Neurospora crassa OR74A: one gene and its partners. The protein of the gene in region 1 purifies or fractionates together with the protein of each later gene. This does not show direct contact. Links are inferred from orthologs where the notes say so. Each region holds a gene or a part of one and is shown in the gene's direction. Other genes may lie near its edges. The genes, in order: NCU00334, NCU03808, NCU08026 and NCU09437.

Evidence for each region.
Region 2: the proteins of NCU00334 (region 1) and NCU03808 purify together in Saccharomyces cerevisiae (affinity purification with mass spectrometry; 6 studies listed by BioGRID). This does not show direct contact. The link is inferred for Neurospora crassa OR74A from reciprocal best matches to the Saccharomyces cerevisiae genes RRP45 and ECM16.
Region 3: the proteins of NCU00334 (region 1) and NCU08026 purify together in Saccharomyces cerevisiae (affinity purification with mass spectrometry; 5 studies listed by BioGRID). This does not show direct contact. The link is inferred for Neurospora crassa OR74A from reciprocal best matches to the Saccharomyces cerevisiae genes RRP45 and MTR3.
Region 4: the proteins of NCU00334 (region 1) and NCU09437 purify together in Saccharomyces cerevisiae (affinity purification with mass spectrometry, with the first as the bait; 3 studies listed by BioGRID). This does not show direct contact. The link is inferred for Neurospora crassa OR74A from reciprocal best matches to the Saccharomyces cerevisiae genes RRP45 and UTP22.

What each region holds. Positions count from the first base shown.
Region 1 is NC_026503.1:3,487,031-3,490,291, reverse strand, and holds NCU00334 (3' exoribonuclease), read left to right. Parts: upstream 1-1,219; 5' UTR 1,220-1,288; coding exon 1,289-1,455; intron 1,456-1,536; coding exon 1,537-2,263; 3' UTR 2,264-2,746; downstream 2,747-3,261. Other genes in the region: NCU00335 (pre-mRNA-splicing factor cwc15), read right to left, coding at 1-735, 827-859; NCU00333 (ADP-ribosylation factor family protein), read right to left, coding at 3,065-3,261. UniProt on the Saccharomyces cerevisiae protein: Non-catalytic component of the RNA exosome complex which has 3'->5' exoribonuclease activity and participates in a multitude of cellular RNA processing and degradation events.
Region 2 is NC_026505.1:2,474,199-2,478,395, forward strand, and holds the start of NCU03808 (pre-mRNA-splicing factor ATP-dependent RNA helicase PRP16), read left to right. Parts: upstream 1-1,366; 5' UTR 1,367-1,435; coding exon 1,436-4,197. Other genes in the region: NCU03807 (hypothetical protein), read right to left, coding at 458-748, 810-962. UniProt on the Saccharomyces cerevisiae protein: Probable ATP-binding RNA helicase. Required for 18S rRNA synthesis. May play a role in restructuring of the pre-rRNA.
Region 3 is NC_026504.1:3,956,890-3,960,611, forward strand, and holds NCU08026 (3' exoribonuclease), read left to right. Parts: upstream 1-1,258; 5' UTR 1,259-1,451; coding exon 1,452-1,584; intron 1,585-1,643; coding exon 1,644-2,371; 3' UTR 2,372-2,443; intron 2,444-2,505; 3' UTR 2,506-3,203; downstream 3,204-3,722.
Region 4 is NC_026507.1:182,548-186,853, reverse strand, and holds the start of NCU09437 (hypothetical protein), read left to right. Parts: upstream 1-1,496; 5' UTR 1,497-1,581; coding exon 1,582-4,306. UniProt on the Saccharomyces cerevisiae protein: Involved in nucleolar processing of pre-18S ribosomal RNA and ribosome assembly.

The sequences.
Region 1 (3,261 bases):
ATTGACAAACTCCTTCTTCTTATTCCTATCGTCCACACCCCTCGCCTGGTTCTTGAAGACCACGTCGTCGTCCCACCTCCTCTTGACCGTAAAGTCCGGCTTGTTCAGCAGCGGGTTCCCGAGCGCTATGTCCTTCTCGCGCTGTTCTTCTTCGGCCTTTTGGCGCTCAAGCTCCTCGCGCTCGCGCTTCTCTTGACGCTCGCGACGCACGCGCTCGAGTTCCCGCTGGAGTTCGGCTTCTTCGTCGTCTGAGTCGGAGTCGGAGTCGGAATCAGAATCGGAGGAGTCTGAAGAGGCGTCGTCGTCATCTTGGTTCTTCTGGGCTTTTGGTGATTTGGCATCGGCGTCATCGGCATCCGCGTCGTCGTCATCAACATCATCAGAAGAATCATCCGCATCAATCTCCCTCGTCAACTCTAATATCCTTCGTCGCTTCGCTTCTTGGTCTTCCTCCTCTTTGTTGTGATCACCGCCCGTCAAAGCCAATGGGCGCTTGGTTCCCGCCTTCTCGTTATCGACATCGTCATCACCAGAGGTAAGAGCAGGTCCGCCCCTCAACTTGGCCTTGTGCGCCTCCTCGGCAGCCAGCAGCTCAGCGCGCAGGTCGCGCGTGTCGCGCTCTTCAGATGCCCCCGCAACGCCGCCTTGGCCGGGCTTGCGGAACTTGAGCTGGGTGTAGGCGGGTAGGAGACGCTGGTGGTAGGCGGGACCGCGGAGGGCTTCTTTGCCTTTGGCCTGGTTTTGAGAAGAATGGATGTTAGTGGGTGCACGAGAGGATGGCGGGATTGGTTGGGGATGAGAAGGATGAGGGTGGTGGGATGCGTACCGGGTCGAAGGTAGGTCTGTGAGCTGTGGTCATTCTGGCGGCTTGGTTCGGTTACGCAGTTCTTTTCTTGAGTTGATAGATGATGCCGGTGCGTGAGAGATGAAGCGCGCGCAATAGAGGGCGAGATGGGCCGTGATTTGTTGAGGGGTGTTGGAAGTGGAAATTGCTGCAGAGGGAAGTAAAGTTGTTCCTGATTTGAAGCAATGGCTCTGAAGTCTGAAGAAGGAACTGGCTGGCAGTAGTGGTACAAATGGATCCAATGACGCCCTGGGGTTCAGTCTCGCAGGCGCACTTCTTGACCGCCAGCGGCAAAACCCGCCAAATTCTGGCGGACTTTAGTGGCAGAAACGGTGACCATAGCGACTGCAACTGCAGCACCTACCTAACCAGTGATGTTGCCCGATTCTTTAGATCCGCAACCACGTATTTTCAAAGGGAAAAAGTAAACAAACCTCAGTCAACATGCCCAGAGAAGCAGAACCGTCAGCCAACGAGAAGGCCTTTCTCTTGAAGGCGCTTCAAGACGAACAGATTCGCCTCGATGGCCGTGAATTCGACCAATACCGTCCACTAGAGCTCACGTTTGGAGACGAATATGGCGTCGCCAATGTATCGCTTGGCAAGACAAAGTACGTTTGTGTACTCTCACCACCACCACGCATATCCTACCCCTGAGGCACCAAGATACTAACCGGGACTCCCATCTTTAGAATTCTTGCCAAAGCCTCCGCCGAAGTAACAGTCCCCTTCGCCGACCGCCCGCTCGACGGCATCTTCACCATCGCCACCGAACTCTCCCCCATGGCCGCGCCTCACTTCGAAGTGAACCGGCCCACCGAAACCGAAGTGCTGCTCTCGCGCCTGCTCGAAAAGACGGTCCGGCGCTCCGGCGCCCTCGACACCGAGTCGCTCTGTCTGGTCGCGGGGCAAAAGTGCTGGTCCGTCCGGGTCGACGTGCACGTGCTTTCGCACGACGGCAACCTGACCGATGCGGCCTGCTTCGCCGTCGTCGCCGCCCTTCGCCACTTCCGAAAGCCCGACACCAGCATGGAGAATGGCGTGCTGACGGTGTACACGCCTGCGGAGCGGGAGCCGGTGCCGCTGGGCTGGCTGCACTCGCCTTTCTGCGTGACGTGGAGTTTCTTTGGCGAGGAGGGTGAGACAGCGTTGTTGGATGCGGATTGGATGGAGGAGCAAGTCAGGGTCGCCAGTGTCACGATTAGTTTGAACAGGCACGGAGAGATCTGCCAGATCGCGAAGCTCGGGGGTGTACCGGTCGAGGCAGTTGCGCTACTGCAGTGTACCAGCGTGGCGCTGACGAAGGTGAAGGAGTTCTCCACTTACTTGGATGACAAGTTGGCGGAGGACGCAAAGAGGAGGGATAAGGGTGGGTTTATGGCTGAGTTGAGGGCGGAGAATGATCGCATTGTTGGGTGAAGCGGTTGAGGACGTAAGAGGAAGAAGTGAGATACCCAGGTACGGCCATAGAGCCAAGCAGAACAACAAGGCTGTGTGGTTGAAGGCGAAACCTGACGAGGATATGGGACAGCTCTACAGCTGGTCTCTTTACTTTTCTCAGTCAAAAGAGAACGGCAAGAATTGTCCAAGAGGCAAGTCACTCCGCGGAATGGGCTCTATTATTATGATGGGGGGCGCCGCGAGTGCCGTATCCTCCCTCATGTCTAAAGGGAGTTATCCCGTTAGCGGCGACCGAAATTGCCATCTAACGTTACACAGTGTATCTCGCCATCAGCTCAGTCCCCAAGTCCTCATCTGCCGCTAAAGCTGCCAGATGAATGAGGTGAAAGCATTGGCGCCAGGTAACCACAGGGTCCTAGCCTCTATCTCTGGACGCAATGAGCTCCAAACTTTAGTTTAGACCAAGCCTGAGCCCTAAATTTGCTTCTACGCCACTCCCCCCACGATCCAATCTTGCCCGAATCTGAAGTGATTTGATCTGATGGCAGGGTAATCTCGCGTGATGGCAGGGTGTTGTAGGTCTTTTTGGAAGAAACCTGCGTGATCACGTACCGCTCCTGGCCTAGTTCTTAAGTCTTCCAGGAAGCGATATTGATCCTCGACGGCAGGCAAGATCCAAGCATTGCCTGCCGAACCCAAAGGGAGGATTTGGCTCCCACATAGAATCCTCTGCCCCGGCGCTGTCGATGTTCGTCGATATTGGTCGCGAACGTGGGTTATGTCATGAATTGGTCTTTCATCATCAACCGCTCCCGCTTCTCACCGCATAACCGGCGGCCTCGACTCCTTGTTCCACTTTACCCTTGACCTAACCCACTCCACCGCCTCCCTCACGCCCGTCCCCGTTAGTGCCGACACCGGCAACACCCTCGAGTCTCTGATACTTGCGCTCTTCTCGCCCTCGAAGACCTTCTTTACCAAGCCTTCCTTGATCCGCACCACCTCTACGCAGTCTT
Region 2 (4,197 bases), on another chromosome or scaffold:
CATCAAGCAGGGTTAGGGTCTATGGCTAAGCCTTGTCCCTCAGCTCGTCCACTTGAGCCCCTCTTGCCTTCAACATCATCCTATCATCCTATCATCCTGTTTGGATCCTTGCTCGAAATTGTCGATCTGCCTGGAGTCGCTTTTCGTTTGACACACATCTTTTGTGTTGCTGCAAGATCGGGCTCACTGCCCTCCATTGTTCTGTGTTCTACATCTCTAGGATTAAACTGGCCAGCAGCCCAGCCATCGTTCCCCTGTCTTCCCAGAACCTGCCTTAAGACAGACCAGCCCTCACTTACATCTTCTCAGCCGACCACATCCACCGAGTTGCGAACATGCTCATTCCCGATAACCACACATTTGGTTTCTACTCCCCGCTTCACCAGAACTGCTCATCGCGATAGCCTCAACTCGAACTTGTTACTGCGAGATATCGTTCACTCCATGACATTTACTATTAGAGGACTTGTTGTACCAACTCGACCACGTCATAGAAGGAGTCACTAGTAGTGGTGTCGACCTTCTCCAGGCCCAAACCAAGCAACAAAGACCGCTGCTCATTGGGGTTGCGCAAAGTCAGGAGACTGGCAATTTGACTGGCATAAAGCTGGCCCATGGTCTCCCTCTCCGCATTTCCACCTCCAAGAAGAGTCGTTGCTGTTAAATGTTCTGATGGTAACAGGCTACCGGCGCCAGGCAGAGCCATGTCTACTGACGCGGAAGAAGGTGCGGCTAGTTGTACTTGGACCTAGAACATGGTATGTTAGTAGACTGTAAGTGGGATGGCGTTCGGGCGCTCTTGAACCTACCCACTGAGCAAGGCGCCCACCTTGAGAAATGGTGACCATGATCTTGTCCGAGAAGTTCATTGATGAAACCTCAGTTTCCACTCCGTTGACAAGCCCAGTTGCCTGCCTGGAAGGTGACGGGAATGGCTCTTGCCTGACTGCGTCCTCAGACATGGTGAGTTCTGGATGTGGTGAAGTATGGACAGTTGCAAGACTCGAAAAACCGCGTGTGTTTCAAAGGATAAGACCGTAGGGGGATAACTTCGGCTTCTGTACTCCTGGTCGGATAGTACTCTCTGATGTCTCTACTGCGTTCATATTCAGAGTTTAGACGCGGGACTCCATCGTGATGTTTGTTGATGGAGCCGGAGTGGGCTGGGCTGCAGAGTTCAGGATGGACCCACGAAACATAGCAAACTGTACGCGCACTGTAGCTGGGTTACTTCAGTTGCTGTCCTGGACCCTCACAGGCCCCCAAAACGTGGGGTGCCACATTTAGCGCAGAAATTCTGCCAGGCGGACAAGATTTAATCTTCAAATCTTCAGGGTACTTGGTGACTTTCAGTTCGTTGCATTCTGCCGTCGCGACACCGGCCCTCATTTCTGCCGTCACTGCTCGCCTCGAGCACACCCGATAAAACAACAACATGGCTGTCATAGACGGGAAGTTCGTGCCGCGTCAGCGCAAGCGCAAGCAGCTTGATCGCCAGCGGTCGAGGAGTAAGGGAACACAAGACCCCGAAGACACCAACGTCCTCGAGATCGCTCCTGGACAGGAAACCACCACGGATGCCGAAAAGAAGAAGACCGAGCTACGGGAGGAATTGAGGCCTGCGGGTGTCAAGGTCAGCAGCAAGAAGGCCAAGAGACTCGAAAAGTACATCGACACAAAGCTCAAGAAGGACGAGAACCGCGAACTCCTGGCCAAGCTTGCCGCCAACAAGATCGACACCTCCCTATTCTCAAGCACAAAATCACTAGGCCAAACAAAATTGACCAAAAAGGAGGAGCTCAGCCGGCTTGTCAAGGAAGCAAAAGCTGGACTTATAACAGAGAAGGAGGCGGCCAAGAAACTTTACGAAAAGCGAGAGGTGAAGGAAGGTGCACCAGTACCAAAGCCTAAACCCACGGTCGACGAGGATTCAGAGGGCTCGGAAGATGAGCAGGACTCGGCAGCCGAGAAGCCAAGGAGCGCGCCAGCGGAAACAAGCGAGCCTACACCAGTACAAGCGACGACATCGTCAACAAGCCTGCCAGTACCTGTCGGTGCTGGTCTCAAGCGCCCCTTAGAGGTCGACGAGTCAGGACGCCCAATACTTGCCAAGAGACAAAAGAGAGGAGGTGTGAAAACGAAGCACAACTTTACATCATCGCAAGCTCCCGCAGTCATTCCTGTGCCGGAAGTGGTAGAATGGGACGGTTTCAGTTCGGAGGGCGAAGAGGGTTCAGACGATGAAGAGTCTGAGGGTAGTGGTTCAGGCAGCGAGGAAGAAGGCAGTGAAGAGGAGGAGGAGGAATCGGGAGAAGAGGATGGATCTGAAGAGAACGGAGAGGGTTCCGAAGATGATTCAGAAGACGATGATTCTGCGGAAGAATCCGACGAGGACATGGAGGACGCCGAGGAGGACAAGAAAGCAAAGTCTTCAGCCTTCAAGGCTTGGGCGCATCAGGCGAGGAACGAAGCTTTGGGTTACAAGCCTGCTGAATCAAGCATTCTCGAGATACCGAAACCTGCCAACTTTACGCCTCGGCCGATCGAACAAGAGCCTCTGCCTATCGAGCTGCAACCAACAAAGAACGATTCCCGCAAGGCTTTCGCCGTGGTAGTTACCAGGACACCCGAGATCCAGGAAACTCGTTTCAGGTTACCGGTTGTTGCAGAGGAACAGAAGATTATGGAGGCCATTCACGACAACGACATTGTCATCATTTGCGGTGCCACCGGTTCCGGCAAGACCACGCAGGTTCCCCAGTTCCTCTTCGAGTCCGGTTACGGTGTTCCGGATGGACCTACTCCTGGCATGATTGGTGTCACCCAGCCGAGACGTGTCGCTGCTGTCAGTATGTCGAAGCGTGTTGGCGAAGAAATGGGAGACTATTCACATGTGGTTTCCTACCAAATCAGATTCGAAGGCACCGTTGACTCCAAGACGGCCATCAAGTTCATGACGGATGGTGTCTTGCTTCGTGAGGCGGCCATCGATATTGCTCTTCGCAAGTACTCTGCCATCATCATTGATGAAGCCCACGAGAGAAGCGTCAATACCGATATCCTGATTGCGATGCTCAGCAGAGTGGTCAAGCTTAGGAGAGAGTTGGCGGAGGAAGACCCCACGATCAAGCCTCTCAAGCTGATCATCATGTCCGCCACCCTCAGGGTTGAGGAATTCACCCAAAACTCTAACTTGTTCCACACCACTCCTCGCATCATTGAGGTAGAAGGCCGTGAGCATGCTGTTACCATGCATTTTGCCAAAAAGACAAACCACGACTACGTTGATGAGGCATTCCGCAAGATTTGCAGGGGCCACAGGAAACTGCCCCCTGGTGGCATGCTTGTGTTCATGACCGGTCAGGGTGAAATTGCCCAGCTCAGCAAGCGGTTGAAGGCGCGTTTTGGTGGCGGTATGAACACCGCCAGCACCACCAAGGTGCGGATTTCTGCGAAGGAGGCACCCATGGAAGTCGAAGACATCGACTTTGGCGACGTTGAGGATGACCGTAACATCAACGACAGAGACGATGACGATATCTCCATTGCGTCGGACGAGGAGGAAGACAAGGAGTTCGAGATTGAGGACCAAGAATCTGGTACAGGGCCATTGAAGATGCATATCCTACCTCTCTTCTCTTTGCTCCCCACGAAAGAGCAGATGAAGGTGTTTGAGCCGCCCCCAGAGGGCCACCGTCTCGTCATCCTGGCTACCAACGTCGCTGAAACATCCTTGACAATTCCCGGCATCAAGTACGTTTTCGACACTGGAAGGTCGAAGGAGAGAAAGTTCGATCCTGTCAGTGGCGTCCAGAGTTTCGAGATTGGGTGGATCAGCAAGGCCAGCGCAAAGCAGCGTGCCGGTCGTGCCGGTCGTACCGGTCCGGGACACTGCTGGAGACTCTACTCCTCGGCCGTTTACGAAAGAGACTTCCCCGAGTTTTCAGAGCCCGAGTTGCTTCGCATGCCCATCGAGGGCGTTGTGCTCCAGCTCAAGTCCATGAACCTCCAGCATGTCGTCAACTTCCCCTTCCCCACGCCGCCACCGCGTGAGAGCTTGATCAAGGCCGAGAAGCTTTTGACCTACCTCAACGCCATCTCCCAAACTGGCCAAGTCACCCCCATCGGATCTACCATGTCCATCTTCCCGCTCTCTCCCCGCTTCGCTCGCATCCTTCTTATCGGACATCTCCACGA
Region 3 (3,722 bases), on another chromosome or scaffold:
GCGAAGACGACACAGATCAGACAAGCCGTTTTAACTCAGCCCTACAAAGCCGGCCCAAGCCTCCCACGCCCCAAAACGGTGCGCAGGAGACTCGGACAACGGAAGCCAAATGACACCCCGAAGGGAGACACCACAACTAGTCCTCACGCCCCGAAAGACGCTCCAGTGCGGATGGATGGCTCGGCCCGTACATATCGTTGAATGGATAGACTGTTGTCATCATTGTGCATGGGACAAAGGAAAAAAAAAAAAGGCAAAGTACCTACCAGATGGGCATGTCGACTCTCCCACTAGACGCAAGATCGTTTTCAGATCCTATATAACTTGAAGTTTGTTAGCCAACTTGCTCGCAGCATGTGTGGTGAGGGCTGTCGTTGCAAGAAAGAGTTGGGGTGATTGCCATATCAGAAGGTTTTGGTATAATTGGTTATCGCTCATTATTATTCAGAAGCAGAACTGAAAATATTTTGTTTCATCATGGACAATCGGGTGGGTGATGATGTCAGGTGGGGGAAAGAAAACAGAAAGGAAAACAATGTGATGCTTACCTAGTGGGTAGAGACTGAGAAAACGGAGTGGAACAGCAACGGTGACAATAACAACTTTGTCTGTACTATTGATTGTCAGTCAACGGTTCCTCCAAATGAGTTGCAAGTGAAGGATGTGTTGAAGGAGTAGTCAGATGGTAGTGCATGTTTGTTCGATCGCTCAGAGATTATCGCGAGAACTGTGGTTATGGGATCATCATGAGATGTGAAAGGCAAGGGGAAATAAACTTACTCTATCCGTGCGAACCAACGTCGGCCATGTCAGACAGCCAGGACATGCTCTCTAGCAATGGGGTTCGCCATCGCAGAATAACCAAGAGCATGCCTGGACAGTTGACATGACCATGCCATTGCTGCGCCAGCGCAGAAGGCTGCCCAACCAAAGCGACCATGAGCACGGTAAGACCATGGTATCATGGCTGCTCCCCAAAGACAGTGGCCATATCAAATGAAGGCATTGATCCAATGCCGACAATCGCAAGCCGTTCCTGCCGTTGCGAACGGTGTGGGTTGGTGGAAGAGTTCAAGATGAGGTTGGAACTGAAGGCGGCAGAGTTTTGTAGCTGCGCAAAAAATTCCTCCATCGGTGGCTTTGACATGGAATTCTGGGTGGGGCATGTGGCTGACTGATCAAAATCGACAGTGAATGTGAGGTTGCGCCACAACTACTTGAATTTGAGAGTGGACCCACTGCAGTGTAGACGGCGACTCTCACGTCTTGTTTTCAACAGTCAACAGAGGTACCAACAGAAGTTACCAACCGTGAAACAAGGAAAGCCATACACAGACGAGGTCTCTTCCTCTTCACCTATCTCAGGATTCTTCGACCAGAGAAGGGCATCGGAAACAACACAGCAATCACCAAGCCCACCATATCTCCGGCCCTCGTATCTTGGCTTCAAAATGGCCGACAGAAGACGTATTAACGGACCGGTTGGGACTACCAACCCTCCCATCTATGACGATGCACCCGAGAAGCAATCCGAAGGTTTCAAGGTCACAAGGTCACGCCCGGCGAACGTAATTCGCAAAATGTGTAAGCACGTCGAGGACAAACCCTCCTGTTTCGCAGACACAGACTAACCTCACGTTTAGATCTCAAGACGGGAGTGACACCGTCGGCCTCTGGCTCTGCTTACCTAGAGATCGAGTCGTCTGGAAACGGCGGCTCTGGCTTGAAGCTCAGTTGCAGCGTTCATGGACCTAGAGCTTTGCCCAGGTCAACACCTTTTTCTCCTCACATCATCTTGTCCACCCATGTCAAGTTTGCACCCTTTGCGACCAAGCAAAGGCGTGGTTACATTCGTGACCCGATCGAGAGAGATCTCGGCACTCACCTTGAGACGGCTCTTCGGGGATCTATCATTGCTGACCGTTGGCCAAAGAGTGGAGTGGATATCATCATCTCCATTGTTGAAGGAGAGCAAGATCGGGAGACCTCCAAGGCCCAGGGTATTGAGGCCTGGGACACCATGAATGCCTTGAGTGGCTGCATCACCGTTGCCTCGGCTGCACTTGCTGACGCTGGCATTGACTGCGTCGACACTGTGGCCGGAGGTGTTGCTGCGTTGGTACAGGACGCAGGTAATGACGCTGCTCCCAGCATAGTTGTCGACCCGATTCCTTCTGAGCATGAGAAGGTTCTTGCAGCGTGCTGCATCGCATATCTTCCCACACGACAAGAGGTCACCAACCTCTGGTTCAAGGGTGACCTACCTGCGTCCGATATGGACGTTTATACGCAGCTGATTGAAAAGGGCATTCAGGCTTCCAAGAGCGCCAACCGCGTGCTCGTGGACTGCCTGAACGAGACCGTTGGGTGATCATGAGGTCGGCGCGGCAATGTATTATTTGTTTTAGCTATGCGCGAATGGGAAATACTCGTATTGAAACCTGTAAGTCCATCAACGGGAAAAACGCATGGAATTCTATGGTCTGACGGTTCATGGTCTTTGAGTACCTCTACGATTTTGGTCGATTTATCGACCCGAAGACCAGCTTCTGATGCAATAGGTCGAGCTACCAGCCACTTGGTCTTTCGCAATAGCCCATATGTAGGGCAGAAGTAACGGAAGATGCCAATCGATAGCAGCGACAACAGAACTGCGTTCCGAGGTTCGGCGGCTGACTGCAAGAATGGAATGGTCAACTTCCGGCGGGAATAGTTTCGAGATGCCTGTCAAGGTCTGACAGGTTGAGCGAGCGCTCTTTTGCTGAAACTCAGCTGGAAGATCGCAGTGTGATGGACGAATGACGTCCAAGAAGCGTTGTGGCTGGTATGCAGAGCTACCCTCTGAGGTTGACTGCCGAAACATTATGAACCGCGGGGTATGAGAAGCTTCCACGTTCTTCGCCTCAATGATCGTCTGTTTCTGAAATTGGAAACATGATGTGGGGAGATTACGCGTATCGTTTCGTTCATAGCAGCACGGCATGTTCGAAGCAGGGCAGACATGGCCAAAGGTGGTGGCTGATCATGAACCGAGGTTTCACTATTACTGCGTAGGGCATACATACACTACACCTGAACTACTTTCTTTTCGTGTCCGGCACGATCTAATCACTTTATCTGAAGGGGACTGTGGTGAATAGCTCGTATCTTTATCAACATTTCGAGGTGGAGGTAACATAACATGATCAACTACATAATCTGCACAAAGATCGAGTAACGTTGCGTTATTACCGGCGTTCTGGTCCGTAACTTTCAGCATTACGAACGCCACCAAGGAAACCCAATGGAACTGAAGTCACTGCATCCGAAGGCGGACGTGGTACCACCACTCACATATTGGCACAGTGCCGGCCGCGTTCAGCGACGGGGCGCCCCCCGGCGTGGCGTGGTCCCGGGCCCCTCTTTCCCCTGAACTTCTCCTTATCTGCCCCCCCACGGTCCCTCCAAAAAACTACAGACATTTCCCAGTTCGGCCCACATTGTCCACTCAGGCGGGAATTGTAAAACGACCTGACAATCCAATCTTTCCCGTCATCCTCCAAAATCTCACCTCACCCAGCTTTCGGGCGAGTTTTCTCTCGCTTCGCACCTGGTCATTTCACTTTTCCCAAAACCACCCCTACTCTCGTTTCTTCCGACGGTCCCGGCTGCCTACCTACCTACCTACCTACCTACCTACCACACTGTACACTTTTAATTATTCCATAGTGTTTTGTCCATTC
Region 4 (4,306 bases), on another chromosome or scaffold:
CGTAGCTATACAACCGAACCAGGGAATACTTCTCGGTAATAAAGGTCGTAAGGTATATAAGTACTAAAATTCCTTTCTAAAATCACACTATTCTAATACGCAATATAATTTATCGATAGCGAAAAGACTAATCCGTTTATAGAATTCTAGGGACCGCAATACAGCCTTAAATTTCGTACTTATCGTAAGTTCCGGGCTCAATAGAATATAAGTATAATCGCCGCATTAAATTTAGTCCCAAATATCCCAGTTCTATATATAAATTAATAAAGGTACTTAAGATTCGTAAAAAAGGGCAGAATACTTACTTTTAAAGTCACATCTTTATTTACCTATACTAGCTTTAAATCTAGCACTTTAGTAATAATATTATTATATTAACTTTCTCCAAACTTAATTAACAGTATAATCTATATTGTAATTTTATTATATAAAGCTAAAAATATATATAGGACAATACTTTTTCCGTAGCCCATTACTGCGACTAATATTATATCCTTCTATTCGTACGCCAACCGTACTACCGCCTTAACCTAGCCTTTTCGAGGGTCTTTACTATTACTAATAATATCTTTTATTACCCGCAATATACGCTAGGGGTCAACGGAGGGATCGAAATTAGGATCTATAGTATTAATACCTATAGAGGATAGAAAAAATTAAGGAAAAAAAATAACGTACTATAGAGTAAAGAAAACTATACTACTATATTAATAGTCGTATAATATCTATACCTACAAAGTTTTATAGTATTGGGATAAAAAGCCGTACTGTAATATATAGCTAACTAGGCATTGAATATACGGACTTACGTAAAGTTTTTACATTTTCTATAATAATTAATACTTTCAATAGTCGTAGAAAAAAATTAATAATACCATTAAATCCGTCTCAACGAACTCTTTCTCCTCATATCTTTTGTATAACCTAAATCTATTGTTTTATTTTAACGCTATATTATCTTTCTTAGAAGTTTATCAATATAAATTCCCCTATCCGCTTCTAGTCTAATTGGGAATTCAAACCTCTTTTTTAGGCGTTCTTATTCAATACCGGAAAGTATACTAAAAGAATGGGTACACGGATCACAATTTAGAAACTTTAGTAACTTTCAATTTATTATTTTTTTTGAGAACCCCGGGCGCGCAGCGCACGGGCCAGATGTGCGCGCAGCGCACTTTCCCAGCGGCCGCAGGCCGCCCATGCCTAAAAAAGAGGGTCTGATTCTGAGATAAGGGCCGGGCGCTCACTGTCTGTCAGTTGAACCCCACAGGGGCAACCAACCAACATTGCCCCACCCGACTGCCCCTGTCGGGTCTTCCACTGCCCCTGTTTGTGGATTGACCTCTTATCTCTTATCGGAGCTCCAGAGTCTCAAAAAATTTGGGAATTCCCGTCGCAAACTTGAACGAGACTCGAATTTGCAGAACTTCAATTGGAGGGACGACGCTCGGTCCACTGTTGTTTGGCTTTCAGTGCTCTCTCTCTCAGTGTCTTGTCACTATCAATTTCCTGTCTCCATTCCCAGGACATCCTCCTCCACCATCACCATCATATACCTATACCACCGCCACACATACAATGGAACCCGGATCAGCAAAACGACGCAAGATTGGCCATTCACGCGGCGGTGAAAGCGCAGTTGGCAACATCGACGCCGCTGCCTCCTCGGGTCTCTCGCGTGGCCGCGCATTCATCCTCGAAGCCGAAGAACTCGTCGACGAAGTGAAGCTCGACTATGCCACGGCCCTCGAAGGCGTCGACTCCCTCCTCCACAAGATCAAGGGCTCCATCGAAGCCATCGAAGCCCACGATGCCCTCCAGATCGCCGAGGCTGCCACCAAACTCGAAAAGAAACACAAGATCCCGATCCCGTTCCCCGAGCCGCGCCCGTCCGACAAGTCCAACTACAAGGTCGCCTTCGCAAAGCCTTCCCAGTTCAACGTTGTCGGCAGCTATGTGTCCAAGACCATGATCAAGGCCCAAAAGAGCCATGCTGTGGATATGGTGGTTGTGATCCCCGGCGAGACTCTGCAAGAGAAGGACTACCTCGACCTGCGATACTTTTACAAGAGAGCCTACTTCCTCGGTGTTGTGGCTGCTGCCCTACAAAAGGACCTGGCTGATGATGGAGAGCTTTCATACGAATACCTGAATGGGAACACCCTGTCCCCCATTTTGTCGTTGAAACCAAAGGTGGAAGGAGAAAAAAAGGAGGGCCAGCTGGACTACAGAGTGCGCATCATCCCTTGCGCCCCAGACAACTTCTTCCCCAAATCAAAGCTTCACTTGGGCGCTACCCTCGTGCGCAAAGCTGGCGGTGACGAGTCCAAGGCCGCGACCAAGCCTACGCCCTTCTACAACTCGACGATTGTTTCCGAGTCCTGCTTCTTTCCCTACTTGAAGCTCTTGCGACAAACCGAAAAGAAATGCGCCGCGTTCAAGAAGGCTTGCATCCTGGGTCGGGTGTGGTTGCAACAACGAGGACTGGGAAGCGATATGGCGGACGGTGGTTTTGGTCACTTTGAATGGGCGGTACTTTTGGCCCTTCTGCTCCAAAGCGGCGACAGCACCAAGGGACATGCGCCCTTGTCTACATCCCTGAGCGCCACCCAGTTGTTCAAGGCCATGGTCCAGTTCTTGTCTGTTACTAACCTGTCCGAGAAGCCGTGTGTTTTGGGAACTGCCACCGTCGAGTCCGAAACCACTGGTCCGGTTCTCTTCGACGCTGTTCGTGGTTTGAACGTTGCCTTCAAGATGAGCAACTGGTCTGCGGCCAAGCTACACCAACACGCCAAGTGGACAAGGAGCCTTCTCAACGACAGCACTGCCGACCAGTTTACCCCTACCTTCATCCTCAAGGCCGACCTCCCCTGGCAAAACTACGACCTCATTGCCCACCTCAACTACGATGGAAAGCAGGACAAGACAGAACCGATTGACTGCCGGGGACGGCTATGGGAATACAGCGACAAGGTGCACAGGGTTCTCAAGCGGGCTCTTCAGGACGAAGAACTAGGTGAAAGGGCTCGGTCGATTCACATTCAACTACCCAAGAGCTCATCCTGGGATCTCACCAAGAAACCCTCCACCAAGCAGAACCACACAATCGAGATTGGTGTCCTCTTCAATGCCGCCAACATGACCCGCTCTGTCGACCGCGGTCCGGCCGCTGGACCTAGCAACGAGGAGAAGGAGGAATGCGCCAAGTTCCAGCGGTTCTGGGGTGAGAAATCGGAACTTCGTCGGTTCGAGGGTGATTCTATCAGGGAGACCTTGATCTGGTCGTCCACCTCCCCCTTTGACCTCTGCGAGGAAATTATGCGCTACATCCTCAAGCTCCATCTTCGCGTTGGCTACCTCGAGGACGAGCTCACCTTCCACGGCGATGGCTTCACCGAGTTGATTCCTATCAAGCCGACCGACACCTCCGTCTTCAACGCCGCTCGCAAGGCCTTTTCCTCCTTCGAGAAGGATATCCGCGACTTGGACGACATGCCGCTGCACGTCAGGCAAATAGCCCCCATCTGCCCCGAACTGCGACACGCCTCCGTCAAGGTGCCCTTCTCGACCGTCAACAAATCCGGCCCACGCCCCCTGGAATGCGTCATCTCCTTTGAAGCCTCCGGCAAGTGGCCCGAATCCATCGTGGCCATCCAACGCACCAAGATCGCCTTCCTGCGCATGATCGGCGACCTCCTGGAGCGTTCCAAGCCCGGCGAGGTCCGCTCTTACGTCGGTCTCGAGTCCTCTACCACCACCAACACGGAACTCGAGAACCTCGCCTACCTCGACATCGTCTACGAGTCCGGTCCTGCCTTCCGCCTGCGCATCCACTCTGACCTCGAAGAGGCCCTCCTCACGCGCCAATCGCACGACAAGACCATCGACCAACACCACCGCCACCAAGCCTCCGTGCTCCTCTCCAACTTCCGCAGACTCTACTACCACCTCCCTCTGCACACTCAATCCATCAACACCTTCGCCACCCGCTTCCCCGCCTTCTCGCCCACCGTCCGCCTGCTCAAACACTGGTTCTCCTCACACAAACTCGCCTCCCACTTCACCCCCGACTTCATTGAACTCGTCGCCCTCCAGACTTTCTTGAGCCCCTACCCCTGGGACGCACCCTCCTCCCCTTCCGTCGGCCTTCTCCGCGCCCTCCTCTTCGTCAGCAGATGGGACTGGCGCTCCGAGCCGCTCATCGTCGACACCAACAGCGACATGCCATCGTCCGAACGCTCCGCCATCGCCACCCGTCTCGAAGCCTGGCGCAAGATCGATCCGCTCATGAACCACACCGTCC